7 linked regions of the Ovis aries genome follow. The protein of the gene in region 6 interacts with the protein of the main gene of each other region in a pairwise test. Links are inferred from orthologs where the notes say so. Each region holds a gene or a part of one and is shown on either strand. Other genes may lie near its edges. The genes, in order: ENKD1, TSGA10, CCDC120, FARS2, SYT17, MID2 and DCX.

Region 1 (4,841 bases), on a different chromosome or scaffold from region 6:
TGGGCAGACCCCCAGGCTCCTCACTGGCTTCCTCCCCCAGGGGAACCAGAGTGTGGGTCGGGGGCACAAACATACTGGGGCAGGGCAGAGTGAGGTCGGAGCCCAGCTCACCTGCCACTGGCAGCAATGCCTGCAGTTGCTCCACACCCGCCTCCTCGGGGACCACTGTCAGCTCTGACTCAGGCTCCACCTCAGCCTCAGCCTCCCTGTCCCCCTCCCCTGCCTGGTTCAGTTCAGGGTTGCAATAGTTGATGTACTGGTACAGGGGCCGCAGGCGCTGGGCCTTTCCTACAAGAACCCAGGGCAGGGCAATGACTGGAGTGCCAAGCTGGGCTGTGTTGGGTCCAGCTGGCTGGGACAAAAGGGAAGGCTCAGGAAATGCCACTCACGCTCAGGCCCCAAGGTCACTGAGGGTGCCGACACCGTGCTGGCCACCACTGGGAGCACTGGGGTTCCCAGACTCTTGCGCTTCTTGGTCTTTTTGTGCTGTTTGGCAGATGGTGAGGGCTCATTCTGATTATTCTCCGGCTCTTCCCTCTGCAGCGACAGCCCCTGTGGCAACTCACTCTCTGCCCTAGGATGGGCTTGGTGGCTCGGGCCTGTGAGGCTGGGGAACAAGGAGGCCTGAGGAGCCAGCCTGCAGCCTTGGCTCCTGTGCCCTGTCCTAGGGAACAGTCCTGCCTGCCTACCTCCCCAGGCCGTGATCCTTGTCCTTTTCCTGGTCAGTGAGGCCCTGGACTGGACAGGGACCCAGAGATCATGGGAGTTCAGTCCCCTACCAGGCCTTGAGACTTTTGCTCTGCATGTTCCCTACATCAGGGCTCTGGAGGGTCAGCAGAGGTGAGGAATGATGGTGGTGTCAGGGGATAAGGATGGACACTACTGTAAGGCCCCATTTAAGAATCCAACTGGGGTATGAGCCACCCCCACACCACCTCCCCAGTTCCCAGTCTCTTCCCTCTGAAAGCCCCCTCACTTGACCGGCTTCCTCTTCGGACCATGACTGGGCCTCACAGTGGAGGCCGTAGGCCTGGGACCTCTCTCCTCCAGGGCCTCCACCTCTGGTTTGTGCCTGTCTTCCTCCAGCTTGAGTCTCTCCTGGATCTTTGGCTCTGAGGTGGATCTTATTGGACATTTATCTTCATCCTGGGTTTGGCAGGCCTCATGGGCTGGCACCAGGCCCTGGTCTCCCATCACTGGACACTAGCGGTGACACACAGGTAACTGGTCACCATGGCCAGGTAAAGGATACAGGGACCAGCCATTAGACTCTAAATACTCTGGATGAAGGGCACCAGCCCATGCCCCTCCCAGCCTGTGGAACCTGGCCTGGCAGTTTTGGTCTATTAAAGCGCTATGACCCAAGTGTTTGAAGGTTAGACAGCCCGATGGTCACCTCAGAATTCTGAGCATGGCCACCAGGCATCTCTGTAAGCTGTGACTGCCCCACGGCTGCCCCTTCTTGGGCCCCTGGCCGCTTCTCAGCCCCTGCGGAGTCCATAGCTGCGGCGGATCAGCACTTCCTCGACGGTTGCTTGAGGGGCATTGGGGATGGAGGGCGGATCCTGAGGGGCCAGACTAGTAGACCCTGAGCGGACCCGGGAGAGGACCGGATTGGGAAGGGCAACTGACAGTCGTTCTGCTCCCCCCTCAGCTGGAACTACAGGCCCCAGAAGGCTTTGCGCCAAGGCCATTGGCCCCTGACCTCACGGACGGAAACCATTGTTGCCTGGCAACAGCAAACCCGTCGGGTGGCGGCAGTGGGCGGCAAAACCGCTCTGGTGAGCCCCTTGCCCGAGTGAGAAGCCTGCCAACGGTACTGAGAGGTGGGCTGAGAGCAGAGGTGGCGAGCGCAGGCCGGGGCCGGGAGGCGGGGTGGGGGCCGGGAACGCAGGCAGGGCACGGCTGAGGTTAGGACCCGGGGCCAGGGAGGAGGCACTGGGCTGAGAAGCCGGGTTTGGAGCCAGAGACGCGTAGCCCGGCAGGCCTCAGGTGCAACGTTTGCAGGACGGCGGCGGCGGTATGTGTGAGGGTCCGTCCCGCATCTCGGGGCCCATCCCCCCAGACCCTACGCTCTGTCCGGACTACTACCGGAGGCCGTCTTCGGGTGAGTTAGGGAGTGAAAGCGGCCTGGCAAGGGTCGGGCCCAGCTCCACCACTGACTCCGCACTCTGCCCCGTCTGGCCTCTCAGCCCAAGGGCGCCTTGAGGGAAACGCGCCGAAGTTGGACCTGCTGACGACGGATACGGACCCGGACCTAGACGCCACCCCTCCCCGCGCCCCTCGCATCCGTCCGGGAGGCCTAGAAATCCTGGAGCGTGGCCGTCGCGGCGTGGGTGGTGTGCTGCTGCAGCTCGGGGGTATCTCCCTAGGCCCAGGGGCCTCTCCCAAGAGTAAGTTCTGGTCAGAACGGACAGCGAGGCGGCTCTGAAGTCAAAACAGATAAAAAGACGGCTGCTTCCCCTTCCCTGCTCTGGGCTCAGGCTTTACCTCTCAGAGTGTCTGTTTCCCCAACTGTAGAAGGAGCGGGAAATGCACGACTTCTTCGCAGGAGAGGACTAAATGAGGCATACCCCGGAAAAGCCCGTAGCTCAGCTTCATGGATTTATGCATGGTTGGTTGTTGAGTGTCTGCTGTGCTCCAGGCCCTATGGGTGCTAGGAGAACAAGGTCGAAGAAGCGCATCATTGAATCAAGGTGGGAGACAGTAAAACAAGTGAAGAGGTGAATAGGATATGCAAGGTGATTACTAGTATACTTCATAATCAAATATGTATAAAATCATCAGAAACAGAAGATAATTATGGTGTGAGGACGAGAACAAGGTTATGTGGTGGACTTTAGAGTATGTCAGGGAGGCAGGGTGTGGGCTTGTGTGTCCACTGGGGTAAGTTGGATTGTATGGGCTGTATGTAGGGCAACATCTTTTCTCCAGGGAAGGACCCTAAAGACCATGAGAAGGAGAACATGAGGCGGATCAGGGAAATCCAGAGGCGCTTCCGTGAGCAGGAGCACAGCCAGGAGCAGGCCCAATCCAGGCCCCTGAAGGCCCTGTGGCGCTCACCCAAGTATGACAAAGTGGAGTCGCGTGTCAAGGCTCAGCTGCAGGTACCTGCCTCAGGGAGCCCCAAGTGTTGCCCGTCTTGTTGGCCAACAGGACATTATACTCTGACTTGAGTTATGAGGAGGGAGGAAACCCACAGTGGGCTGAGGTCACAGGGGATGAAGAGCTGGTCCTGCTGCAGAGTGGGGCTGTGGCCTTTCTCTGAAGTGATGACAGCTGGGTGATTCTGAGGGGCAAGTCGGAATTAGGCAAGGGGAGAATAGAGGAGAACATTTTATAGAAATGGAACCTTGTGGTTCCAGGGTCCCTGGTCCTAACACCAGGGACTTAGGAGTGTGGGCAGTGGGGATGCTGTGTTCAGTTCACTATGAGGGAGGAAGAACATGAGGTTAGGCTAAGAAGTCAGCTGGACCCACATCATAAAGGGCCACATAAATCCATTTTTTTAAACCTTTATTTCTAAGGACAATGGGAAGGGCAGGGGTATGTATGGTGGTAAGATTCTATCTGGGGTAGCTAGTGGTGCCACTTCTCTTTCCAGGGGTCTGAGAAGGAGAAGTAGGACAGAAAAAAAGACAAGGTCATATGTGGGTGTGTTGAAGCTGAAGCTTTTGTGGGGCTTCCAGGGAGTGGGAATGTGTCCAAGAGGCAGATGGAGAATCAGGTCTGGATCTCAGAAGTGAGACCCAGGAGCTATTGAGGACGAGGCTGAGGATAGTGAAACCAGGGAAGTGACCCTGGATTTGGGGGCTTGGAGACCAGCTGTTGGTGGCCTTGGTAGGGACAGAGCCAGAAAGCTTGACTAGGAAGGAGAGAAAAAGAGAACGATGACTGAAGCCAGGACTGAGGTAGAGGGAGGGAAATATGTTTTCTGAGAGATGTGAAAAACACACAGGTTTAAATGCTGATGTGATGGAAGTACTTATTCAAGAGGAAGGAGGCCAGGTCCAGAGGACTGGTGATAGAGAAAGATCCTGAAAGACAGGAGGGACAGAGGCATGGTCTTACAGCTTGAGACCCTGACTTCAGCCTGACTGACCACCCCCCGCTCTGCCTTGGCCTCCAGGAGCCCGGCCCTGCCTCTAGAACTGAGCCAGCCCACTTTCTGCGGGCCCATTCCCGTTGCGGCCCCGGGCTCCCACCACCCCGTGTCCCCAGTCCCCAGCTAACCCTACCAGGTCCCAATGCTAAGGTGAGAGGATATGTGGGGGCTGGGAGGTGGGGCAGGGATTCCGGGGCACCACACAGTGCTGTTTCATCATGCTGGCCATGTCCCGCAGGCCCCAGGTCTGGGTGTGGACTTCATTATGCACAATGCCCGCACTGCCAAGAGGGCCCCCCGGCGGCATTCTCGCTCGCTGCAAGTCCTGGCACAGGTGCTGGAGCAGCAACGGCAAGCCCAGGAGCACTACAACGCCACGCAGAAGGGTCACGTGCCCCATTAGTAGGTCCTACTGCTCCCCCCACTCCTGGGAAGGGGCACTTATGGAGGGTGGAAGCCCACGTCTGCCTAGGGTCATCAGCCCTGGGTCTGTGCATCACAGCTTGTTGGAGCGCAGGGACCTGTGGCGGCGGGAGGCTGAGGCCCGTCAGCACAGCCAACCAGACCCAGCCATGCCCCCTGGCCACACTCGCATGCCTGAGAACCAGCGGCTGGAGACACTGAGCAGTCTGCTCCAGAGTGAGTACGTGGGCAAGGGGAGCTGGCTGGGGAACCCACCAGGTACTATGCACCCCTGCCCAGCATTTACTGTTCCTGGGGCCCCTGTAGGCCAGAG
Region 2 (4,259 bases), on a different chromosome or scaffold from region 6:
AGCCAAGGCTAGAGAGGTGGATTGGACTAGAACAGAAGTTTTCAAACTTTCTGTGAAGGCCCAGGTAAAAAGCAGCCTGGGCCTTGCAGGCTATGTGACCTCTGACACAGCTATTCAGCTCTGTTGTTGTAGTGCCACAGCCCCAGTAGATACAAACAAGAGAACGAGTTTGTTCCTGTTATTCAGTCGCTCAGTTGTGTCTAACTTTTTGCAGCCCCATGGACTGCAGCATGCCAGGCTCCCCTGTGCTTCACTATCTCCCTGAGTCTGTTCAAACTCATGTCCGTTGAATCAGTGATGCCGTTCAACCATCTCATCTTATGTTGTCCCCTTCTCCTCCTGCCTTCAATCTTTCCCAGGATCAGGGACTTTCCCAGTGAGTAGGCTCTTTGCATCAGGGGGCCAAAGTATTGGAGCTTCAGCTGCAGCATCAGTCCTTCCAATGAGTATTCAGGGTTGATTTCCTTTAGGATTTGGCTGTGTTACAGTATAATTGATTTATAGAGACACAAGTACTTGAAATTCCATAGAGTGGTGGGTGTGGGAGCCAGGTTAGACTGGAGTTAGAGAATGGATGATAAGGAACAGGCAGGGTGTACAAACCATGACACTTAAAAAAAAACTGTCAAAGGAAAAAGAGACAGATGATGATAAACGGGACAGTAGGATTAAGTGACAGTTTTTCAAGATAAGGGAGCCATGTGCATGGTTGAAGAAGTAGAGGAAGAGCCAGTGGAGAGGGTGGTATTTAAAGTGAGACAAGTAATTAAAATTGAGTTAGGGGTATCTTAAAAGACACTTCAGAAAGTGAGGTCCAGGAGTCTGGTCAAGGCTTACCTATGGAAATTGGGAAGTAATATTTCTTCTTCTGAGACTTAGATACTAGCTGAATAGATAGTGAGCAAAATCGAGAGAAAGGATGATAAGGGAAGGAAGTAGCAAAGCAGGGTATGAAATCACCTGCAGATGTGGAATAGACTTGGAACCCAAGGATAGTTGTTGAACAAGTGTGTGAAGCATAGGTTGGGTTATCAGTAAGGATCAGTAGGCCTTTCTGTTGGGGTGAAAGTAGTCAAGACATGGAAATGGCACATACATTTTTGTAGAGAAATACTGGAACACTATGATAATATTTATTAAGCCAGTATTCTGCCTAAATTGTACTGATTTCAAATTTATCAGAAAATGGATGATATATATCATAGATACCTCTTAGTGAAACACTCTCTGTTGCATTAACTGCCTCCAAATTAATTTGTTTTAATTTTTGGCAAAGATAGTATAAACCAAACTTGTGTTTGTAGATATTCATTTACATTTGGGGCATCATTTGCATTTATTTGTGTAAGTTCATTAACGAATTATATCATTATCCTGCTGCAAGCACATTAATTAATATAGGCTTGCATTTTATCTGGCTGGATAGAAGATAGCTGTCCTAAAGCTTGTTAAACAGAAGTCTACGTATGTATTTAAACAATAGGCACAGGAAGAAATTGCCCGACTTCGACGAGAAATGATGAAAAGCTGTAAGTCTCCTAAATCAACAACAGCACATGCTATCCTCCGGCGGGTGGAGACTGAGAGAGATGTGGCCTTCACTGACTTGCGAAGAATGACTACAGAGCGAGATAGTCTGAGGGAGAGGCTAAAGGTTTGAAAGAATTTTATCTCTATGAGGATCTGTGAAATGCAAAACAGCAACATTAAGAGCACCTTTGTTTTCTTTTTGTTTTTTAAACAGATTGCCCAAGAGACAGCGTTTAATGAGAAGGCTCACTTGGAACAAAGGATAGAGGAGCTGGAGTGTACAGTTCATAACGTAAAGAAAAGTCACTTTTGCACTTTGGGCTATAAACTGTCAGTGGCTCCCCACTTTCCCCTTTTTCTGTGTTCGGAAAAGTTGGTTTTCTCAGATAGCATTTGCAGTCCTAAAGATGTTTAAGGTGGTGTATATACTGTAAATTATCACTTTTTCATTATTTATTTTCTTCTGAAAAATGTGAGTAAAGTCTTTTCTGTGTTAGGTTGTGTATGCTTTTTGTGTATGTTCTTTAAAGAAAAAGCATTAGGGATGCATTCTCAGTGATTTTAACACTTACTCATCTCCCTGTTTCATTAATGATAGCATTGCCAGGGACAGAGAAACTGGCTTATTCTTCCTAAAGAGTAGCTAAGATAGAGAAAATTATAACAGAATGAAAACCAATGAGAAAAATATATTTAAGCTAAATTTAATTGTGAAGCATCACCTTGTTACTAGTTAAGGCTTTGAGATGCTGTCCATATATATTGGCGATATTCTGACTATATAAACAGAATTAAGGGAATTCAGCTTTCCGTTACCAACTTCAATTGACTATATTTCTAAATTCATCTGTTTTATGTTATAATGAGTTTTTTTTTTAAAGAAATTGACAGGAGTAGACAGAAAAAAACAGAGTTTTTTTCATAATCCCAGTTTGTATGTATAACTTGTTCATATTGAGCAACAAATAAGAAAGCTTCTTGCAAACAGGCTATGTGTGCTGTAGTCCAGCTGAACCAGATTGAAAATGTGCATCTGCTGTGACAGGCTTCATGGACAAGCTGTGTGGCAGCGTGCCCAAGTTCCTGTTCTACAGCACCTTGTCCATGCAGCCTCCCACAGGTTTCAAGGCTAACCTGATCATCTCATATACCAGTTTCTACAAAGACAGAATGTCTCTCCTGAAAGATTACTGAGATGTTTTTAGTGATGGCAGTAACCTTGTCATTCTGCTTATATAGCTTGATGATGAACGTATGGAACAAATGTCAAATATGACTTTGATGAAGGAAACAATAACCACTGTGGAAAAAGAAATGAAATCACTAGCAAGAAAGGCGATGGATACTGAAAGTGAACTTGGCAGACAAAAAGCAGAGAATAATTCTTTGAGGTAAAGTCAATTACCATTAAACCAATGGTTTACTATAAATAGTAGCTCTGCTTTTTGAAGGATATTTTAGGGTGATAATTGAGTTATTTGTTGACTTTAATTTTTGGAAGGATTATTATGAAACAGTAGTGGACACCTCAGCACACATTAAATGATTTCCTAAAGGTCAGTCACAGACTGACAGACTGGGAATGCCGCATCTATAGGAGTCAAACTTCTAGTAATTTTCATCTCGTATTTGCAGAAAGCTTCACTATTGAGCTGAAATAGCTTTTACGAAGCCCTTCTGGGTAACGAACATGTTTGACCTTGGCCTTTCACTGTTTATAATTTACCTTATAACTTAAATTATGTCCTGGGATCCGAACAGTGTAAGAAAACACAAAGCACAGGTTTGACAATGGCTTAGAAAGGGGTGGTTTGACATACAGTAAAAGCCATAGCAAAGAAAGAAGAACATGTAACAGAACTTCTGTTAACTGGATGCCACGTGCTGTGTTTAGCTGTTCCTGCATACTGCCCTGTAGCAGGAAAATCCCAGTTAAAGCAACCCACACGCAGTGGTGTAGGGGAACAAGTTTCTGAAGACTTCCATATTAGCAGTTTCACTTGCACTGTCTATTGACGTGAGAAACAGAAATTCTACACATTCACTCAGGTTGAATTTCAGTGTATCTATGAACATATGAAAAATAATAGTTCATGAGAGTGTGAAATACATTATTTAGTCTACAGATAATACTTGGTTCATATACAAATTCCCAAAGTCGCCTCTTTGGTCTTTCAAGGGTCTGTGGTATGTACTGATGCATTGGAATCACTTGTCAGGACAGAGAATTACTCAAATTCTTTCCCTTCATTTATTTATTTATTTTTAATTAATTTATTTGTTTTAATTGGAGGCTAATTACTTTACAATATTGTAGTAGTTTTGCCATAAATTGACATGAATTAGCCATGGGTATACATGTGTTCCCCATCCTGCCTCCCACCTCCCTCCCTATCCCATCCCTCAGGGTCATCCCAGTGCACCGGCCCTGAGCGCCCTGTCTCATGCATGGAACCTGGCCTGGTGATCTGTTTCATGTATGGTAATATACATGTTTCAATGCTATTCTCTCAAATCATCTCTCCCTTGCCTTCTCCCACAGAGTCCAAAAGTCTGTTCATTACATCAGTGTCTCTTTTTCTGTCTTGCATACAGGGTCATCATTACCATCTTTCTAAATTTCATATGTATGCATTAATATACTGTATTGGTGTTTTTCTTTCTGACTTACTTCACTCTGTATAATAGGCTCCAGTTTCATCCACTTTATTAGAACTGATTAAAATGCA
Region 3 (3,145 bases), about 71 Mb from region 6:
TCAGTAAAAACACCCCCCATACCTGCCGGAGACAGGGGGCGCCGTGAAACTCCTCGAGTGTGGGAGCGGCGCCTGGCTGGGGGCCCCGTACAGTGCCTGGCCCACCTCATAGCAGCGGGCATGAAGGAAGGGCGGGTGCTGCGGGCCCATGTGAGGGAGCCCAGGCCGGCGCTGGGGCCCCGAGGCCAGTCCCGAGTTCCGGATGTACCAGTCCCGCAGCCCCTCCAGGGCAAGGTTCTTGTGGCCGCTGCGCTCACCGGCCGAGGGGATACGGGCGGGTGGGGGCATCCACAGTAGAGGGTTGGGATGCGCCTCCAGGCCCTCAGCGGCCTCCAGGGGCAGACCACAGGGCTTGGTGCGGGGGGCACGGCTATGGGGGTCCTTGCTGCGGAGGAGGGGGCTGCTGCCATCAGCTGCATACACAGGCGGTGGGCCTGGGAGCATGGCGACGAGCCCATCGCGGCGGGAGAGGGGTCCTGGAACCTCAGCTGCCGGCAACAGCTCCCCCCAGCCTGTCCCGCTGCCCCCACGGGGCAGGCCCCGGTCCAGGGAATAGTCCAAGAGGAAGTCCCCACACACGGGTGGGAGCCGGGGGGGCCCGCGGGAGGCCGGCGCGGCTGAGCTGGGCCGGGCAGCCCGGGGAGGGTCTGGGAGGCCAGCCGTGCGGGAGGAAAAGGCAGGGGTTGGCTGGGGGCGCTCATATAGCACCTCACTGCTCTTGCAGACTGGGGGACCGGTGGCAGGGGGAACCAGAGGTGCGGGCGGGGACCCAGCTCCCCCACCCGCTGCCCGGTCCACCAACAGGGCCTCGGAGCTATTGCTGCGGCGGGTGCGAGCTGCGAAGAGGGAGGTGCGGTCGGAGACAGGGTCCACCCGCGGGAAGCCCATCTGGGAGTCCTGGCTGCTGGACCACTGGCGAGAATGGAGGCCTTCGGGTCTAGGGGCACAGAGGTGGGGGTGATGGGAGAAGGGTCAGAAATATCAGGCAGATGGGATAAGCTCGCTCCGCAACCCCTCCCCCAACACACGCCTCTCTCTGGGCCTTCATTTTCACACTCCAAAATGGGCCCCGGACTAGAAATGGGGTGTAAAGGCGTTAGGGAGTGGCACATTAAGAGCAGCAGAGGCCCTAGCCAGGACTGGGGAGCAGAGGGGTTGAAAATGTATGGGGTGCCTGGGGCTGTTAAGCTCCGAGGGAGATGGAAGCAAGGGACTCCAGAGGAAATGCTAGCAGGGGAGGTCACTATTCATAGAATGCAAGCGTCACAAGGATGGGGACTTTTGTTCACAGCCTGGAAAAAGTAGGCACTTGGTAAGTACGTATTTGTTTAAGGACTAGGAGACTACCATGGTTAAAAGCATGGACTCTTGAGTCAAATTTGTCTGGGTTCAAATACCAGGTCTTTGGTTTACCAACAAGTTAGTTAACCTGTGTCTCGGGTTTCTTATCTCTAAAATGAGAATAACGGCATCTACCTCATAGGGATGTTGTGATAACTAAATGAGTTTGATACCAAGTACTGATTCCTAGCAGATGGTAGGTATGCAGCACATGTTAACCAGAACTCATTTATGCCTACAGCCTCTTCCAGAGACAGATATTGATATGCCTGTTTTACAAATGAGGAGACCAAGATTCAGAGAAGGGAAATGACTTGCCCAAAATGCACAGAAAAGCCCATACTCAAACTTCAATGCTTCTGCCCCAAATCCCCACCCTCTTTCTCCAAGGCGGGGGTTGGCTGGGGGTGCTCATATAGCACCAAGACAACTCCTATTCAACTTTCAAGGCTCAGCCTTTCTTTTCTTTTTTTGGTCAATTAAAAAATTTATTTATAATGTGATATTACACATACATTATGTATGGCATATTTCAAAATATATTTTACCTATATTTCTTTATCATGTAATAGGATGCATTATGAACAAAAGTTCTAAAGCATAAATAAAATTCTTGCTTCTTCATACAACTTACACAGAAAATCAGAATAAAACTGATGGATTCAAAGCTCAGTCTTTCATGTCCTACACTCTTGGAATCCAAATACTCTCCCCAGTACCCCCTGTTAGAACTACCAGTTCCCTCCTCTGGTCCTCAAACTCACCCTTAGAGTCCACTTACTTGCAGAGCTGGGGGCCAGCGCCCCGGGTGAGGACGGGAGTAGCAGGCACACTTCGCCCCTCAAAACTGGAGGCACTCCTGGGCAGTGAGCGTGTAGGGCTAGACAGAGACATGCGGGCCCAGGGTGGGGGCGGGGGCCAGGTTAGAGACCGTACCTCCCAGCAGGTCCTCCTGCCCACCCAGGCTCAGCCCCCACTCCTGGCTGTGCGGAAGGAGTGGAGGGGCTCACCCTCACCTGGTGGGGCTGGCCACAGAGTTTCGCCGGCCCTTCAGATCCCCATAAAGATCTGATGGGGGTGGTTTCCATGGGGTTCGCCGCTCAGGGCTGCCCCCAGAGACTGCCCGCAGCTGGTCCCAGGCCTTGGGCGGTGAGGGGCGCTCAGCCAGAGGGAAGCAGCCACGGGGCTCCTCTGAGCAGAAGGGAGAAAATGGTGAAGGGGGGATTCAATGGGAGGGTTGTGGACAAAGCCAAGGGCAGGGGCTAGGGAGGTGCAGAGGGCTAAGCAGGGTAGGACAGGTAGAGGAGGAACCAAGGGAGGCAGGCAGGAACTGGGGCTGATGGGAGAGACAGGGGAGAGGGTGGTGAAGTGAAGAAGGTGGGAGCTCCACCAGAGGATGGGGTGTGGCTGAAGAGGGAGGGCAGGGGCGATGCAGAGCACGGGAGAATTTAGGGGACAAGGGTTCTCACCATTATCGTGGCTGGCCCCAGACTCTGAGAGGGAGCTGCTCTCTGAGTGCAGAACCACATCCTCTACAGGTGAAAAGCAGAGACCCACGCTTATCAATGCAAGGCCTGGGTGCCACCCCCTTACACCACTGGACCGTCTCCTCCCCACCTGGCACACTTCCCAAGAATCCACCTTTACCTAAATCCAAGACCATCAGGGGCTGAGTCCCTCACTTTTTTTGTTGTTGTTGTTGGGCTGCACTGAGTGGCATGAGGGATCTTAGTTTTTATGTCAGAGATCAAACCTGTGCCCCCTGCAGTGGAAGTGCAGAGCCTTGACCACTGGACCGCCAGGG
Region 4 (3,373 bases), on a different chromosome or scaffold from region 6:
CTCCACAAAGGCTTTGCTTCCGGGACCAGGAGGCACAGTGGAGACGAGGCTCCTACGGGCTGAGAGCTTGGGGCGCCCCATGTTGACCCTCCCTCCCATCTGCCATCACCTCGGGATGCTGACAGCATTGCCTCCATCACTGTTAGAGGTAGGGGTGGGAGGAGGGAGGGGAAGAACAGGGAGACCCAGAGGGCCGAACAAGGCTGGCCCGCCCCCACAAGGCCTGAACGCAGACAGCCGCCCCAGGGTCCGGTGATTGTACGGGAGTTCATTCAGCAGCTTTTATGCAGCACCTGCTGTATGCCAGACACTGCTCTGGGCACCAGAAGAGCAGAGTGTGCAGCCCGCCAGGAGTGCACCGCGTCAGCATGGGCCTACCTGCAGCCCACAGGGCGAGTCTTTGCTTCTGGTAGGACAGCTTTATTGAGACGTGATTCAGACATCATACACCCATTTAAAGTGTTCAGCTTAGTGGTTTTTATAATATTCATCACCATCTCACTCCAGACATCCCATTACCCTCAACAGACACCTGGACCCCCTTAGCAGTCACGCGGTCGCCCAGCTGCGCCCCCAGCCCGGGGCTTCAGGAATCTGCCTTCTGTCCATGTGGACTTGCTGTTCTGGACGTTTCGTTAGATGGAGTCGTATAAGGTGTGGCCTTTCGTGCCTGGAGCCTCTCAGTGGAGCACGGGGCGTTCAGGTTCGTCTGGCCTGTAGTACTAGAACGTCCTTTCTCTTCATGGCTGCGTAATTCTCCACACGGAGAGAGAGTGTTTGTCCACCCACCAGGTGAAGGGCTCTTGGGTCGTTTCCACTTTTGGGCTGGCGTGACTGCTGCTGCTCTGAACATTCGCATGCTGATTCGTGTGTGGACACACGCCTCCGCTTCTCTTGAGTGTATACCCAGGGAGGCGTCACTGGACCGGAGGGTGACGGTGCTTTTCAGCATTTGAAGGGCTGTCGGTGTGTGACCCTCAGGTTCCTCCAGCTCTTTGCCCAGCGGCCGCATGACTTGACGTCCGCACCAGCCAGGGGTGTGGAGAGGCCACCCAGAGGCCCTCAGTTCAAGGGTCTGGGCGGAAGGCACGTGGCACATGGTGCCGGGCTGACATCCCTGGGCCTTGCCCACTCGTCACTCCAGCTTCGTCACCTGCGGCGGGGACGGCAGGGCTGGCTCAGCTGGGGCTGAAGAGGAGGGATTTGGTGGCTTAGTTTCAGGAGAGAGACGGAGGTGTCCGTGGGGGGGAGCGCTGGAGGCCCAGGCTTGCCAGCTGGTGCCCACACCTCCCTGCTGAGGTGTTGGGCACCCAAGGGTCGGCAGCTGCTACGCTGCAGACGTGCTGTCACGATCCGCATTGCGACATTACCCAGCTGCGCCGTGGGGCCAGGCCCGCAGCCGCCTGGTGCAGGCGGGGATCGGTGACTTGTCTGCACAACACGGGGAGGGCACCACCATCTGTGTGCTGCCCGTGGCCTGCAGGTTCCTAACCCGCTCTGCTGGTCAGAGTCCCCCAGGGAGCCCCGGGCCCCCCAGCTCCGACTCAGTCTCCAGGAAAGCCTGCTGCTCCCTCCCTTGGCACACCTGCCCACACTCACACCTGCCTGCACTCATACACCTGCCCGCACTCACATCTGCTTGCACTCACACACCTGCCCACACTCACACACCTGTGCACACTCACACACACCTATCCACACACACACCTGCCCGCACTCGCACACTCACACACCTGCCCACACACACCTGTCTGCACTCACACACCTGCCCACACTCACACCTGACCGCAGTCACACACTCACACCTGCCCACACACACACCTGCCCACAGTCACCCACACCTGCCCACACACCTGTCCACACTCACACACCTGCCCACACTCACACCTGCCCACACTCACACACCTGCCCAAACTCACACACCTGCCCCCGCTCACACACTCACACACCTGCCTGTGCTCACTTACACACCTGCCCCCGCTCACACACCTGCCCATGCTCACACACCTGCCTGTGCTCACACACCAGCCCGCGCTCACTGCCTTTCTCTCCTGTCCTCTAGGACACACAGGACCAGCCACTGCTACCGCATCACCTACCGCCACATGGAGCGCACGCTGTCGCAGAAAGAGGTCGGGGGCATCCACCAGGCCGTGCAGGAGGCGGCCGTGCGGCAGCTGGGCGTCGAAGGCAGGTTTTGAGGGCCCCCTCCCCGGGCGTGGCGCTCCCGGGGCTCCAGGGTTGCTGAGTGAAGGAGAGAAGGATCCCATCTGTGGACTGAGGCATCAGTCATCCTGCGGTAAACGGGTCGGTTCCAGGACTCTCAGAAAATAAAGCGTTGCTCTCGAGAACCTGTGGACACTTGTCTTTCATTTGGGAGAAGCGGGGAGGCACGGGGAGGCGAGAGCGCCCTTCCGCTCCTTTCAGAGACGCTTCGCCTGTGGGCGCTCGGCTGCTTAGTCAGTCCCTGGAGTCCGCTAAAGTGTAAACACCAGACATGATTTCTTGCCTGACAGGCTCTTCCCGTCCCAGAATGAGTGAAGCCACACTGAGGGACGGACTGCAGACCCCGGAGACTTTCCTGCATCGGCTCCCAGCCCATCTCCCTCCTTCGGTTCCTCAAAGGGCAGGAGCGCAGGGTGCGGAGGAGACGCGGGGCTCCTTGGAGGCAGAGGGAATGGGCAGGATTTTATTTCCTTTTCACTGGAGCCCAGCCTCTGCCCCAGGGCCTGGGTGAAGTTGCCTCCTGTCCCCAGGGAGGAGATGGAGACTTGGCCGCAGGGCTGGGAGGCCCATGACCTGATGGGACCCGTCCTGGAAGCCCGGGAGCTTTTGTTCCCTGACCAGTGGCCTCTGCTTCCGAGATGACCTTTATGGGGGACTGCGGCGCTTTGGCATCTCCCCGTTTCCATGCCCGGCACTTCTGTAGTCTGCCTGCCCCACTCCTGACCACTTTTCCTAATCAGATTCCCTCCCCAGCATGATGCTGGAGGCTGATGGCGGACCACATGCGCTGGGATAAATATCTGATGAGCGCGCCTGTTCGCAGCTGTTGGTGGGGTGGGCAGGCGCTCTAGCGGGAGGCACGGCCCCAGTGTCATTTTGCCCTATTATCTGCGGGTCACTTCCCGTGGACTCTCAAGGGAATCCGGTGCAGGCCGCACGCCAGCCGGGCCAGGCCGCGGGCCAGGGCCCAGGAGCGGACGCACGCAGTGCCCCAGGGGACTGCTGATCTTTGCACCAGGGGCCCCTGCTTGCAGACACTCCTGACCCGGCCTGGGATCCCTTTGAGCCCCCAAACCAGTTAGGCATTCATGGAAATGCTCCCCCCAAACCAGCTGAGGGGGTTACGCTCAGAAAACATGGCTCTGTT
Region 5 (4,259 bases), on a different chromosome or scaffold from region 6:
GAGAAAAAAGTACCATGAGGTTATTGCTAGAATAGAGAGATGAGCAAAGAAGGCAACAATGAACCTGGGAGCGGTGAACTCTTCTGCTTAATGGGGAGGGGAGAGGCACCCCGAAAGTGACGAGCTGTGAATGTGAGCCTTGAAGGTGAATAACAGTTACCATTCAGTGCCTCTCAGCACATGCACGTTCTGTGCTGGGCTCTCTCCACGCATCGCTCAGTGAGTTTTCACCACCATCTTTGATGTGGCTGCTATGATTGGCTCCATGTTACAGATGGGAAAACCGAGTGTGTAAAATGTGCCTGGAGTCACTTGGCTCGTTACTAGAGAGTCACGTGGTTCACGAGGAAGTAGCTGGGTTGGAATTTGACCCAGACACTGGCCCCAGAGCCAACTCCGTGAAATCGGAGGCTGGGAATGGTTAGAGTCGGACCCTGGGGCCAGATAGGTGGGGCTTGGATCCTGGCTCCTCCTCCTACCAGTGGGGTGCCCTTTGGTGAGTTACTTAGAGTTTCTGTTTCCTCTTCTGTAAAGCGAAGGTCATCAGTTCAGTTCAGTTCAGTCGCTCAGTCGTGTCCGACTCTTTGCAACCCCATGAATCGAAGCACGCCAGGCCTCCCTGTCCATCACCATCTCCCGGAGCTCACTCAAACTCTCGTCCATCGAGTCGGTGAAGGTAATAGTCACTGGCTAATGCCTTGTGAGGGTTATGAATGTGAAAGTGTTAGTCGCTCAGTCGTGTCCGACTCTTTGCAAGCCCATGGACTGTAGCCCGCCAGGCTTCTCTGTCCATGGAATTCTCCAGGCAAGAATACTGGAGTGGGTAACCATTCCCTTCTCCATGTACGCAGGGCATTTAGAGCAGTGCCTGGCAATTAGCTGTCGTGGAGATGGGGATATTTGTGCCGCTGCCCTTCCTCTCATAGAGTAAATAAGAGGATTTCCAGGAGTGGAGAGCATATGGAAAGAGCATTATGAAGCAGAGCAAACAATGTGAGAATCTATGAAAGGTCCTTGATCTCACACATCGGCCCAGATCCAGTCCAGTACTTGGTGGTGTTAATTGTTATTTCTGCTGGGTGTGTAGGTCTCGAGTCCAGACGGCCCAGCTCTCCACTGATTGATATTAAGCCCATCGAGTTCGGCGTTCTCAGCGCCAAGAAAGAGCCCATCCAGCCCTCGGTGCTCAGACGGACCTATACGCCGGATGATTACTTCAGGAAGTTCGAGCCCCGCCTATACTCCCTCGATTCCAACAGTGACGACGTGGACTTCCTGACGGACGCGGAGATCCTGTCCAAGTACCAGCTGGGCATGCTGCACTTCAGCACGCAGTACGACCTGCTGCACAACCACCTGACGGTGCGCGTGATCGAGGCCCGGGACCTGCCGCCCCCCATCTCCCACGACGGCGCGCGCCAGGACATGGCGCACTCCAACCCCTACGTCAAGATCTGCCTCCTGCCGGACCAGAAGAACTCCAAGCAGACCGGAGTCAAACGCAAGACCCAGAAGCCCGTGTTCGAGGAGCGCTACACCTTCGAGATCCCCTTCCTGGAGGCTCAGAGGAGGACCCTGCTCCTGACGGTGCTGGACTTCGATAAGTTCTCACGCCACTGCGTCATCGGCAAGGTGGCTGTGCCTTTGTGCGAGGTCGACCTGGTGAAGGGTGGTCACTGGTGGAAGGCGCTGATTCCCAGTTCTCAGGTAAGGGGTGGGTTGGCAGTGTCTCCTGCTGGGAGCTTTGTAAAAAACGATTATTATTTTTTTAATCTCAGAATTTAAGTTTTGTTTGTTTGGGTTGGTTTTTTTTTTTTTTTGCATTTTTAAAACTTTTGATTTTGAAATAATTTTTTGACTCCCAAGAAGTTGCAAGAACAGTACAGGGAGTCCTGTGTGTTCTTCATCCACCTTCCTGGCTGGTAAATCTCATACGATCTGTGTACGCTAGGACACCAAGAAACTGCTATTTGGTAGCTAAACTAGACCTTATGCAATTTTCCCCAGTTTTTTTTAAAAATGTTTATTTACTTCTTTGGCTGCATTGGGTGTTGGTTGCGGCACACAAGATTGTGAATCTTTGTTGCATCATGTAGGACCTTTAGTTGTGGAGTGTGGGATCTAGTTCCCTGGCCAGGGTCAAACCCAAGTCCCTTGCATTGGGAGTGCAGAGTCCTAGCCCCTGGACTACCAGGGAAGTCCCTTCACCAGCATCTTCTGTGTGCGTGTGCATGTGTGTGTGTGTGTGTGTGTGTGTGTGTGTGATTCTATGAAATTATAACACATGTATGGATTCAGGTAACCAGCACTACCCTGGGAACTTTTTGTCATTGATGCTGGCTTATTTACTAAGAAGAATTATTGTCCAGAGTATGAAGCTATCTGTCATTTTGACTTTCAGGAATTGATCTGGGAAAAATAAGATGAGGGCTGAAGACCGGGATAATGGATGATTGCTTTTCAGGTGAATTGTAAGATTAGCTTCCTTCCCTCTTCCAGCGCGGTGACACACATTGGGCTGCCTGGGGAGCTACCCATGGACCAAACTCTCTCCCCAGTGGGCTTCAGGGTCCCTTTCTGGGGCATTTTATGGGCTGGAGGATAGCAGTGCACTCACTGTGGGTGGAAAGATGTGGGGGGAGTCCAGGGGAAAAGATCCTGTTGGAGGCTGGTCAAGACCATCCACGTCAGACATTGATCCTTGTAATGCAAATAGGATTACTTTGCATCGAATACACCAAGGTGCTTCTAAAGCTGAGCTCCGCGTCCAGGGATTTGATCATCCAGCATCACATTTGGGATGCACGTGTTAAACGAGGACTGGAGGGGCTGCTACATTGTATGTGTGTATATACACCATCTTCGAAACTATCACTCTCTTAGTTTGGATTCCCCAAGAAAAAGAAGACTCTCAGGCAAGGAAGTCATTTAATAGGGAGGTGACACCGGAGGAAATACCAAGAGCAGGTAGGAATGTCACTTAAAAGATGCAGATATCAGGCCTGCCACCACTGTGGTGACTGGAGCAGAAACCTGTTAGAGGAGCCAGGAGCCAGTGTCGGACATAGGTCTAAGAGCCTTTCCTCCCAAGAGGTGAGGGAGCTGGGGTGTTAATACACCACCTCCTGTCAGTCACTGAACGAGGGCTGGGGGGAGGGGAGGTTCATTTCCTGATATTTCTGGCTTGTGACACTGGTGGGTACAGAGCCCCTTGACATCCACAGATGCAAAATATGTACAAGAGCTGGCAGATTCATGTAGGCAGGAATGATCACGGTCAGGAGAAGGTAGTTAGTGTCTGCTGTAATCCTAAGTTTGCCTTCCCATCACACAAGCAGGATATATGGGATCATGTCGTGTATCCTCTTCGATATTTGAGATCGAGGTTTTCAACTGTCAAGTAAATTATGTGGACAGAGGGAGACCCACCAAACATGATAAATTCCAGATTCCACTCTTTGTGTCAGGGCAGAGCCCTGGAGGGGGAGGGCCTGGACATGCCCACAGGTTGGCTCCCCTAGGTCTTGGCTGAAGTGTTATCGTGGCTGAAATGGAAAGTTCCAGGTGCACCTGCCCTGGTATGGTTCCTGAAAGCTGGGGCCAGGGGCTGGGGGTAGGTGCAGGTCGTTAATTTAGGAGGTGATCCCAGGAAGCAAGAGGAAGGGTTGAGGAGGAGACAGAGAAGGAGGGATGTCAAAGCCAGGGGTGGTTCTGAAGGGCGCCATTCTGGCCCTGGGGTGGGCGTAGACTCCATCTTTGCCCAGTGGCCAGGTGGGCTCCCCAAACCTCACAGGAGGGCTGGGCAGAAAAGAGAAGGCGCCCAGGCGTGCTGCTCTCTGCCTGAACTGAGACTGGGCTGTGGAGCATCTGTCGCTTCACCCCTGCCCTGGGCACGCCCCATCCCCTTCTCCTCCTTTGCTTTTCTCCATGGCACTTACCATCCCATAGACTGGGCATTTTATGGTCTGTCTCCCCTGCTGGTATGTGAACCCCGCGAGGGCGGTAACTTTTGTCTGTTTTGTTCTCGTCTTTCTCCCCTGCTCCTGGAACAGTGATGAGCAGCTGATGGTGCTCAGCAATATTTACTGAATGAGTGGAGGATGGAAGGATCCCCAAAGCGAATTTCCTTCTTCCCTCCCTCCCTCTTTCCTCCCTTCCTTCTTCTTCTTCCTTCTCATGCAATGAGAGGCTCGTGGAAATCGAGGCGAGAGTCTAGACTCATCTCAAGCTTGCTCTGGAGTATATGCTGTTTGAGTGGG
Region 6 (4,810 bases):
ACATGGTAGTTCTATTTTTAATTTCTTGAGGAACCTCCTCACTGTTTTCCATAGCAGTTGCACCACTTTACATTCCTACCAACTGCAAACAGTGTTCCAATTTCTCCACATCCTTACCAACACTTACTATTTTCTGTTTTATTTTAAATACTTGTCAGCCTAATGAGTGTGAGATAATATCTTATTGTGGTTTTGGTTTCCATTTCCCTGATGATTAGCGATGCTGAGCATCTTTTCATATGCTTATTGGCCATTTGTTTATCTTCTTTGGAGAAACGTCTATTTCAGTCCTTTGCCCATTTTTTAATCGTGATATTTACTTTGTTATTGGTTTGTAGGAGTTCTTTACCTATTAACCTCTTACCAGATACGTGGTTTGCAAATATTTTCTCTCTATTTTTGCCTTTTCACTGTTGATTCTTCTGCTGCACAGAAGTTTTTAAGTTCAATGTAGTCCCTCTTGTCTAGTTTAGCTTTATTTTTGCTTGTGTTTTTGGTGTGACTCATTAACTTTTACTTTTCTTAGGGCCAGACTTTCATCAGGATAGCTTGGTTGTGATTTTTGCCTTCCTTTCCACCTCAGTGCTCTCTTGAACATTGTTTAACAGGGGTGTTGGCTAATTACTATTGGTTCCCTGATGGGATACACCCAGAATTACCTTAATTTTTCTGGACTCATTCCCACCGAAGGTAATGAGAGAGCTATGGGAGAGGGGGTTCTTTCCTCCCATTTTCTCACTCCTTTCCCCTTCATCTTGCCTTTTTTTAAAAATCCCCTTCATTTCCCTATGTGAGGTACAGAATCTCCTCTGGGGCCTCCTCCTCCCTCCCTCTCCCACCCTCCTCGAGGAGTGGGTCGGTGGTCTCTGAGCCAATGACAGGTCCCACGGGCGGACTCCAGACCAATGAACGCTCCTGGGTTCCAGCTGGACCAATTAGCTTATTAGGGACATTGAATACCTGTATATAGCTAACATCCGTCCCATTGTCCTCTTATTAAAGACCCTCTGGTTTGGCCCATCACGGATTTGAATGTGTAAATGAGGCCCTACACTCCCCCCCTCCCCCACTTTTTTGATTTTGTTTTTTAATTTTGGTGGCTTTAATCCATCTCCACAACTTCTGCCCAAGGCCAATAAAACACAGCCATTCTCCCTTTGTAAAAAGAAAGAGGGGTTGGGTTTCCTTCAATTGTCTGCCCTTTTCTGTCTCCTCCACTATTTTTGTTTTACTCTGTAGTTAACTTTACATTGAGCAGCTTCGTCCGAGGACCTGTGCGCTGGACCTAGGCACTCTCTTCTCATTGCTGGTGGCAACGGCCCTTTCGTTGTTCTAACCTAGGGGTTTGTGGGGGCCAGGGGCTTGGCGGCTGGGAGAAGAGTTTGGCCAGAGTCTTCCTTCTGCATTTCACACACATTCTGCTGGCGCTCTCGCTCTCTTACACACACACACACACACACACACACACACACGCACACACGCACACACACACCCGCTCCGGCCCCTCTCCGTATGTCTTCCTTCAAGATGACAGGGCGCTGGAGAAAAGGCTGCTGGAATCAGCTGGTAGGTACAGTAGTAACCCGAACCCCACCCACCCGCTGCCTTTGCTCGCTCAGGTTTCTCCGGTCACTCCTGCCAGGGGAGAAAACATGTAAACGCGCCTCCAGAGGAGGGGCAGGGGGAGCTGGGAGCGGCGGGGGCGGCAGAAGGTGAGCCGGGGAAGGTGGCCGAGCGCCCCGGCTGCCGGGCCCTTCCCAGCGCTCCCTCGGGGCAGCAGCCCCAGCCCGCTTCGCCCCCACCCCATCCCCCTTTTCGTCGGGATTGCCTTCTCTACCCCCCCCCCGCCCCCCACGCCCTGCGACGGCGGAAATGACAGTGTGGTGCTGCCGCGGTGTCATGGTGCTGCCCCTGGACTGAGGAGCGAAAACTCTTAAGTTTGGCTCGGGAGACCCAGCCGCGGTAGCGTGGCGGCCGCCGAGCTGTCCCCAGCGGGGCGCGCGGGCGGGCGGATCCTGGCTGCTGCGCGGCGGCGGCGGCTGCGAAGGCGGGCGGCGGCCTAGAGCGGCGGCGGCAACGGCGGCAGCGGTGGCAGCCGGGGAGCTCGCGCCGGAGCCTGAGCCAGCTCGCGCGGGAGGCAGGCGAGCACCCGGCGCCCTCGGGCGCGCCGAGGACATGGCCGGCAGCCGGGAAGGCTCTGGGTAAAACGCGCCCCCTCGCCGCGGCCCCGGGGGCCGACCGCCACCACCCGCGCCGGGCTCGGCCCCGGGCTCGGGCCGCGCGTCTCAGGTGCGGCCGGGGCCCGGCGGGGGCCGAGGGCTGCTCCGGGGCTCGGCGGGGCGGGGTGACGGGGCCCCCGAGGCTCGAGGTGGCGGCGGCGGCGGAGGGCGCCCCGGCCCGGCCCTGGCTCCCCGATGCGCCGCTGGGGCCCGGGCACCCGTCGCTGCCCTCCAGGGACGGAGTTTGCACTCGGGGGTCCGGGGCGGGGGCGGGTCCTAGGCCTCCCGCGCAGTCCAGCCGGGTCGGGCGCGGGCCCCTCCCGGAGCGGCTCTCCGAGAGCCTGGGCGCTAGTCTGGGAAAGGGCACCGCCGCCTTCCCACGCTCCCGCGGCCGGCCACCTCCTTGGCCCGGGCGGCGCCCCTCGGCCGCCTGGCTGTGGTGGCTGCGGCAGCCAGAGATGCTGCGGACACCCTGCCCGCGGGGAGGCCGGGCGAAACTTAATCCCTTTGCTGCCACGGAATGATCCTGGAGTCTCTGTCTGGGTGGTTCCTTATTTTTGGCCTAGCTGTGAAACCAGCTCAGTGGGGGAGAGGGAAAACTTATAGGTCCCCCGGACAGACTGCGATAGAACCCGGGAAAGGTGGGGTTTTTCCATTCCTGGCTCGTAAGAATTAAGTAAATAAGCGGAGTAGATTGACAGAAACATTTTTGGTGATGATAAGGTTTCGGTTACTTAGCATAACGCGTGCAGCACATTTCTTGGAGGCGTTTCTTCTCAGAGCAGGACATTGGGATCCTGGGGTCGTTGTGTTCTTCACTTTTTCTCTTCCATACCCCCCTACCCGCCTTCACACTCACTCGCCTTCTTCCTACGTGGTAATCACACACCTACTTGCCCACGGTAATCTCCCAACCAGAACCACACGTCTCCTGGGTCCTGTGCACTCCCAGGCTCCCTGTCAAGCAGCCTCTGGCTTCTGAACCAGCTTTGCCATTTTGAGGATTTCTGAGTGTGGGGAGGGTGGATGGTTATGGTTGTTTGTGTCTGAAGTGTATTAGAGGCTATGTAAATAGACAAGTACAAGTGTGGGTTGATTCTTCTGATTCTTAAGGTGGGCCATAAGGGCTGCCTTTACCTCCATTCTGTCCCCTTCCAATACTCCAGTCAGTTCTCTGGCAATGTGCCAATGGAAGGGGACCCCTGAATAGGGAGAGTCCCTCCCCTACTTCTCATTTTACCCCAGCTGGTTACCCCTAATGCTCACATCCCCCTTTTCACTCCACTCATCACTGCCTTGAGAGGGAAAGAGTCTTTGCTACTTTAATATTTTCCTGCCCAATCAATTAATGCAGATATACAATGTGAATTAGATTTCCCCTGATGGTTCCACACAGCTTGATTTATGTGGTTGAAATACAAGTCTAGGAGCCAAGGAGATCAGAGAGTTCATTTCAAATCTGATGTTTCATTGGCTTTGTGGCTTTAGGACATTCCTGTGACCTTTCTTTCATAGTTGATGCACTTGTATGAAAGACATCATATTGTGTACTGGCTATTGTGAGTCTTGGCTTGGTCCTTTGAAGATGAAAGGATTCTATAAACCCTCAGCATTATACTTTTCAAAGAAAGTACTTCATTTACCTTTTATTGAGGTAATAGTTTGGGTGTAAGTAGGAACCCTGCTTTACTGGGAACCCAAACTTGCCATTATTAACCCTTTTGGGAGCCAAATCTATTACCCTACTGTGGTCCTAGGTCTGTTTCTTTTTTTTTTCCCTTAGTGCACATGCAACTGAATGAAAACGTACATAAAACAAGACATAAAGAGTAATGATGATTATTTTAAACTAAGGCTTGAATCATATCTAATGTACTCCAACCTAACAATCTGAATCAGATGCATTTGAAAACATAACCTCACTCATTTTTAGCCCATATAGGGGTGGGTAGTTACTTTCTACTGAAAAGTGGCTTAAATACTTTTAGGCATGGGTATCTAAGCAGGATTAGTATCTTGCAGTGGTGAATCAACCATGTTTCTTAAAAGCACCTGCAATGTGCAGAGTCCTCTGCTGACTGGGCTAAGGCCCCAGCTTTGGCCTTACATTTTGGCCTCCTGTTTGTTTAAGGCATACCTCTGCACTTGCAGTTCTCGGATTAGGACTGGGAGGGGCTGTGCAGGGCAGGGGTAAAGCCTAGAGACTTGAAGGAGCGAGTATTTCCCTCCCATTTACTTTCATGACTGCTAGACTCCTAATCTAGCATGTTGTACCTTGCAAGGCCATCCCTGGGAAGTACTGCTGCAAATCAGAATGGCTTGGTTGCTTTATGAACATATCATCTGAACAGTGCAAATTGATTTAGGTGAAATTAGTTTAGTTACTCCCTCCTCTAAGTGCAGGGCAACTTGCTCCAACTTGTAGATCCTAAAACAGTGCCAAAGGAGCCTCATAATTGCATCCAAAAATTGCTCTTAGTGAACCTGTCCATTCCCTCATCCCTCCTCCCATAAAATCTGCTGACACCATGACAGTTGAGAAGGAAACTGCCCAAGGAATATGCCTTTGCTACTTGATGAAGAGGAGAGAA
Region 7 (3,205 bases), about 3.7 Mb from region 6:
GTGGCAGGTAGTGGTGTGCTGTTAAATGGGTAACAACCAGCTTTCTGTGTGAGAAAACAACAACTCTGATTTATAGCATTTGCTGAATTCCATGGTGTAAATATTCCCATCATGGCTGAGCTCTAGTTACTAGAGTTGGGAAGCAGTGTACACAGTCAGCTCTCATGAGCTAGTGTAAACCAGCTCCAGTACACCAAGGGTCATAACCTTGGTTAGGACCTTATGTCTACTGCTGCCTAGCCATGTCACTCCAGTAAGTAACTTCACCATTCTGGGTCTCAATTTCCTCATGTGTAAAATATCAATCCCACAAGATCATTGAGGAATCAAACTAAACAAATTTACCTCTGTCTCAGATCTTTTCTACCTCTGACTCTCTATGGTTCCGTGATGGAACTGGCCACATTGGTGGCTTTTTTGCCTTTCTCCATCTCATGCCAGGTCTTGTGAGCCAGGGGAACACAAGAGAATCCTAGAGGAAGCCACTCTATGGTGTGGTAATCAGAGCAGAGGGCTTCTGGTGGCTCAGGAGTAAGAGTCACCTGCCAATGAAGAAGATGAGGGTCTGATCCCTGGGTCGGGAAGATCCCCTGGAGAAGGGAATGGCACCCTGCTCCAGCATTCTTGCCTGGAGAATTCCATGGACAGAGGAGCCTGGTGGGCTATGGTCCATGGGGTTGCAAAAGAGTTGGACATGACTTCGGGAGTAAACAACAACAGTCACAGCAGAAACCACATCTATGTGGCCTGAAGTGAGGTGGAAGGCAATGGCCACTGCATATTTTTGATACAGAAGAGATTTCTAGGTGGAAATCAGTTTGGAAAGTGGAGGTAGAGAATTTCTACAACATCTATTATTTTAATGGTATATTTATTGGGGCTAACTCAGAGGTGTAAAGGGTACCTAAGGTCAGTGCAATGAATATATGCCCTCTCTCCCCACAGTGTACCAGAATTGGCCTGAGCACGAAGAATACACAGTGAAATTAGGGTCTGTTCATATTTGAATGTCCCACGAATCTAAAGGGAGTAACTCAGGACTAACTTTCTTTATGACCTTTACCGGACCTAGGAACTTAAGTTGCCCTCACCATCCTGTTTGCTGTGCCTCTGAATCAGAGGGACAAAGCTCAGTTTATCCCTTGGGCCATCATTTGGTGACACGATTAGCTCAGAATGGGGGTATTTGGGTCCTTCATACCACTTCCTTTTGGGTAAATAGAATTAAGCCAGGGGCCAGAAGAATAAACACAATGATTGGAAGCTTGACCCCTGCTGGGATTCCTGAGGCTTCAAGCTAATGGACCAAAAAGTCCAAGTGAAAGGGAGTTTAGTAAGGTATAAGAGACATAATACCTTGTGCTTCCGGAGGCTGCCAGGACTGGTGGGCGTAGAGATGGGAGACTGCTTAGACTTGGGGGTAGAGAGCTGGCTGCTGGAGGTTCCGTTTGCTAGCCCAAGGCAAGAGAAAAGGAAGGGAGAAAAATCAACAGCATACAAAGGAACATGTTATCCTTCCCCTCTGAAGACACTAAGAACATTCAAACACGCTACACAGACGACCAAGTGATTTGATGAGTAGAACAAAGGTGAAAAGAAACACATTCCTCAGAAAGGCAAGAACTACAATCCTCAGTTAATTAGATCCCCTTGTGGTGCAAAGCAGTAATCTAACTCCCGCCCCCCCCTTCTCCCCGCCTCACCTCCTCCCAAGTACTTCCAATTACAGGGATCTGGTTCTTTTCAAACCTTTTTCATATTCATTCCCAAGTCTGACCCTAGCAGCATCTCTGGGAGGTAGTCCGGGAACATGTTACTCTGTTTCAATTTTATAAATGACATTAAAAAGGCATGAAGAGGTCATATGCCTCACCTTAAAGGGGAAGGCATCTGGGTGATTTGGGCATGTCCCTTTTGGTGGCAGATGATGTGGTGCAGGACAGCCCTATTATCTATCTCTTCCCCTCTCTATTTTCCTGCTCATCTTCCCCCCCCCCCCCCACTCTCTCTTCCCTACCTCATTATGGGTGCAAAGACCAGAAGGAAAAAAGGAGAGAGAAAGAGCTAATTAGGAAGCAGAATGGAAAAGAAAATGGAGGAGAAACAGTGTGAAACATAAAGAGAGGTGCATACAGCAAAATGGGCAGAGGAGAGAATTGAGAATGAGAGAGAGAGATCAGGAGTGAAGGAGACGAGAGACAAGAGGTTGCTAGGAAAGAGAAGGAAGAAGTTTGAAATCAGGAGAAAGGCTTACAGACAGAAAAAGGATGATGGCATTAATAGCCAGAGTCAGGGTGCACCTCCATTTGTCTCTAGTCAGTAAAATGTTGAAAATGCAATGATTTAGTATTTAACATCTCTATATTCCATTGTTGTTGCAAATTGTCTTATATTCCCTTGCTGACCAGATTTTTAAAAGATCCAATCATGTAAAAAGAAATGTGGTGCATTGAAGTGGAACAATTAAACAGCTTTCAAAGGGAATTCATGTTCAGACATCTCATGCTTAAGTTAATTTATTTTAAAATGTAAGGACCTACATTGTTCCTCAGATATTCTGAAATGTGCTTTTTAAAAAAGGCAAATATCCCAAGGGCACTGTGGGGAGAGGGGAGGAGACGAGAAAGAGGAGGAAGGGAAGACAGGGGAGAGCGGGTAGAGGAAGAGAGAGAGTAGGAAATTGAAAAAATTGAGCAAGAAGATGGCCTGAGAGTGTTGCTGTTGATCCCATAGGTAAAGCTTAAACTGATGTATCATGAATATTTCCTGAAGATATACTTCCTCTGCACCACTTTGGTAATGTTTCCCTAGGTTCTGGAACCTTCACATCAACTATAGAGATGAAAGAGACATCAGTGTGGTGGTAGCTGAATTTATCCAAGTGCAAGTGAGCTGAAAAATGGGCACTTAGGCATCCACCATCTGGTTTTACCTGTGTATTCACTTGTCTTTAACCCACTCACTGAGAGGCCTTTCTCCCTGTCAGGGCTTCCTGGGAGTCATTCATTAAATTGGCCAGTAGTTCCAGAGTACTTTCTCTAAACTGAGCCAAGAATTAGACACTGGGGTTTCAGAGATGAGTAAGTCACTTCAAATGGGGAGGCAGATAAGAATACTGGAGAATAAGTGCTATGACAGAGCCAGACAAGTGGTGTTACTGGAGCCCAGCAGAGATGCTTGGAAATCAGGGAACTAGGAGGCAAAC

The links.
Region 1: the proteins of MID2 (region 6) and ENKD1 interact in binary tests that used the Homo sapiens proteins (3 or more experiments, as listed by UniProt). The link is inferred for Ovis aries from reciprocal best matches to the Homo sapiens genes MID2 and ENKD1.
Region 2: the proteins of MID2 (region 6) and TSGA10 interact in binary tests that used the Homo sapiens proteins (3 or more experiments, as listed by UniProt). The two-hybrid records come from large-scale screens. The link is inferred for Ovis aries from reciprocal best matches to the Homo sapiens genes MID2 and TSGA10.
Region 3: the proteins of MID2 (region 6) and CCDC120 interact in binary tests that used the Homo sapiens proteins (3 or more experiments, as listed by UniProt). The link is inferred for Ovis aries from reciprocal best matches to the Homo sapiens genes MID2 and CCDC120.
Region 4: the proteins of MID2 (region 6) and FARS2 interact in binary tests that used the Homo sapiens proteins (3 or more experiments, as listed by UniProt). The two-hybrid records come from large-scale screens. The link is inferred for Ovis aries from reciprocal best matches to the Homo sapiens genes MID2 and FARS2.
Region 5: the proteins of MID2 (region 6) and SYT17 interact in binary tests that used the Homo sapiens proteins (3 or more experiments, as listed by UniProt). The two-hybrid records come from large-scale screens. The link is inferred for Ovis aries from reciprocal best matches to the Homo sapiens genes MID2 and SYT17.
Region 7: the proteins of MID2 (region 6) and DCX interact in binary tests that used the Homo sapiens proteins (3 or more experiments, as listed by UniProt). The two-hybrid records come from large-scale screens. The link is inferred for Ovis aries from reciprocal best matches to the Homo sapiens genes MID2 and DCX.

What each region holds. Positions count from the first base shown.
Region 1 is NC_056067.1:34,775,213-34,780,053, reverse strand, and holds the start of ENKD1 (enkurin domain-containing protein 1), read left to right. Parts: upstream 1-1,721; 5' UTR 1,722-1,781; exon of another isoform or gene 1,782-1,826; intron 1,827-2,007; 5' UTR 2,008-2,022; coding exon 2,023-2,107; intron 2,108-2,192; coding exon 2,193-2,393; intron 2,394-2,934; coding exon 2,935-3,107; intron 3,108-4,129; coding exon 4,130-4,255; intron 4,256-4,343; coding exon 4,344-4,507; intron 4,508-4,607; coding exon 4,608-4,744; coding exon of another isoform or gene 4,745-4,748; intron 4,749-4,834; coding exon 4,835-4,841. Other genes in the region: C14H16orf86 (uncharacterized protein C16orf86 homolog), read right to left, coding at 1-288, 390-637, 977-1,203, 1,397-1,501. UniProt on the Homo sapiens protein: Microtubule-binding protein which regulates microtubule organization and stability. Promotes the stability of astral microtubules and facilitates the proper orientation of the mitotic spindle.
Region 2 is NC_056056.1:102,216,421-102,220,679, forward strand, and holds part of TSGA10 (testis-specific gene 10 protein), read left to right. Parts: intron 1-1,483; coding exon 1,484-1,654; intron 1,655-1,744; coding exon 1,745-1,822; intron 1,823-2,769; coding exon 2,770-2,921; intron 2,922-4,259. UniProt on the Homo sapiens protein: Plays a role in spermatogenesis. When overexpressed, prevents nuclear localization of HIF1A.
Region 3 is NC_056080.1:56,040,567-56,043,711, forward strand, and holds part of CCDC120 (coiled-coil domain-containing protein 120), read right to left. Parts: intron 2,874-3,145; coding exon 2,811-2,873; intron 2,533-2,810; coding exon 2,358-2,532; intron 2,222-2,357; coding exon 2,123-2,221; intron 938-2,122; coding exon 23-937; coding exon of another isoform or gene 1-22. UniProt on the Homo sapiens protein: Centriolar protein required for centriole subdistal appendage assembly and microtubule anchoring in interphase cells. Together with CCDC68, cooperate with subdistal appendage components ODF2, NIN and CEP170 for hierarchical subdistal appendage assembly.
Region 4 is NC_056073.1:48,259,248-48,262,620, reverse strand, and holds the end of FARS2 (phenylalanine--tRNA ligase, mitochondrial), read left to right. Parts: intron 1-528; coding exon 529-703; intron 704-2,062; coding exon 2,063-2,248; 3' UTR 2,249-2,351; downstream 2,352-3,373. UniProt on the Homo sapiens protein: Is responsible for the charging of tRNA(Phe) with phenylalanine in mitochondrial translation.
Region 5 is NC_056077.1:17,263,626-17,267,884, reverse strand, and holds part of SYT17 (synaptotagmin-17), read left to right. Parts: intron 1-1,087; coding exon 1,088-1,707; intron 1,708-4,259. UniProt on the Homo sapiens protein: Plays a role in dendrite formation by melanocytes.
Region 6 is NC_056080.1:127,419,491-127,424,300, reverse strand, and holds the start of MID2 (probable E3 ubiquitin-protein ligase MID2), read left to right. Parts: upstream 1-1,502; 5' UTR 1,503-1,566; intron 1,567-1,631; exon of another isoform or gene 1,632-1,712; intron 1,713-2,063; exon of another isoform or gene 2,064-2,201; intron 2,202-4,810. UniProt on the Homo sapiens protein: E3 ubiquitin ligase that plays a role in microtubule stabilization. Mediates the 'Lys-48'-linked polyubiquitination of LRRK2 to drive its localization to microtubules and its proteasomal degradation in neurons.
Region 7 is NC_056080.1:123,700,974-123,704,178, reverse strand, and holds part of DCX (neuronal migration protein doublecortin), read right to left. Parts: intron 1,452-3,205; coding exon 1,225-1,451; 3' UTR 1-1,224. UniProt on the Homo sapiens protein: Microtubule-associated protein required for initial steps of neuronal dispersion and cortex lamination during cerebral cortex development. May act by competing with the putative neuronal protein kinase DCLK1 in binding to a target protein.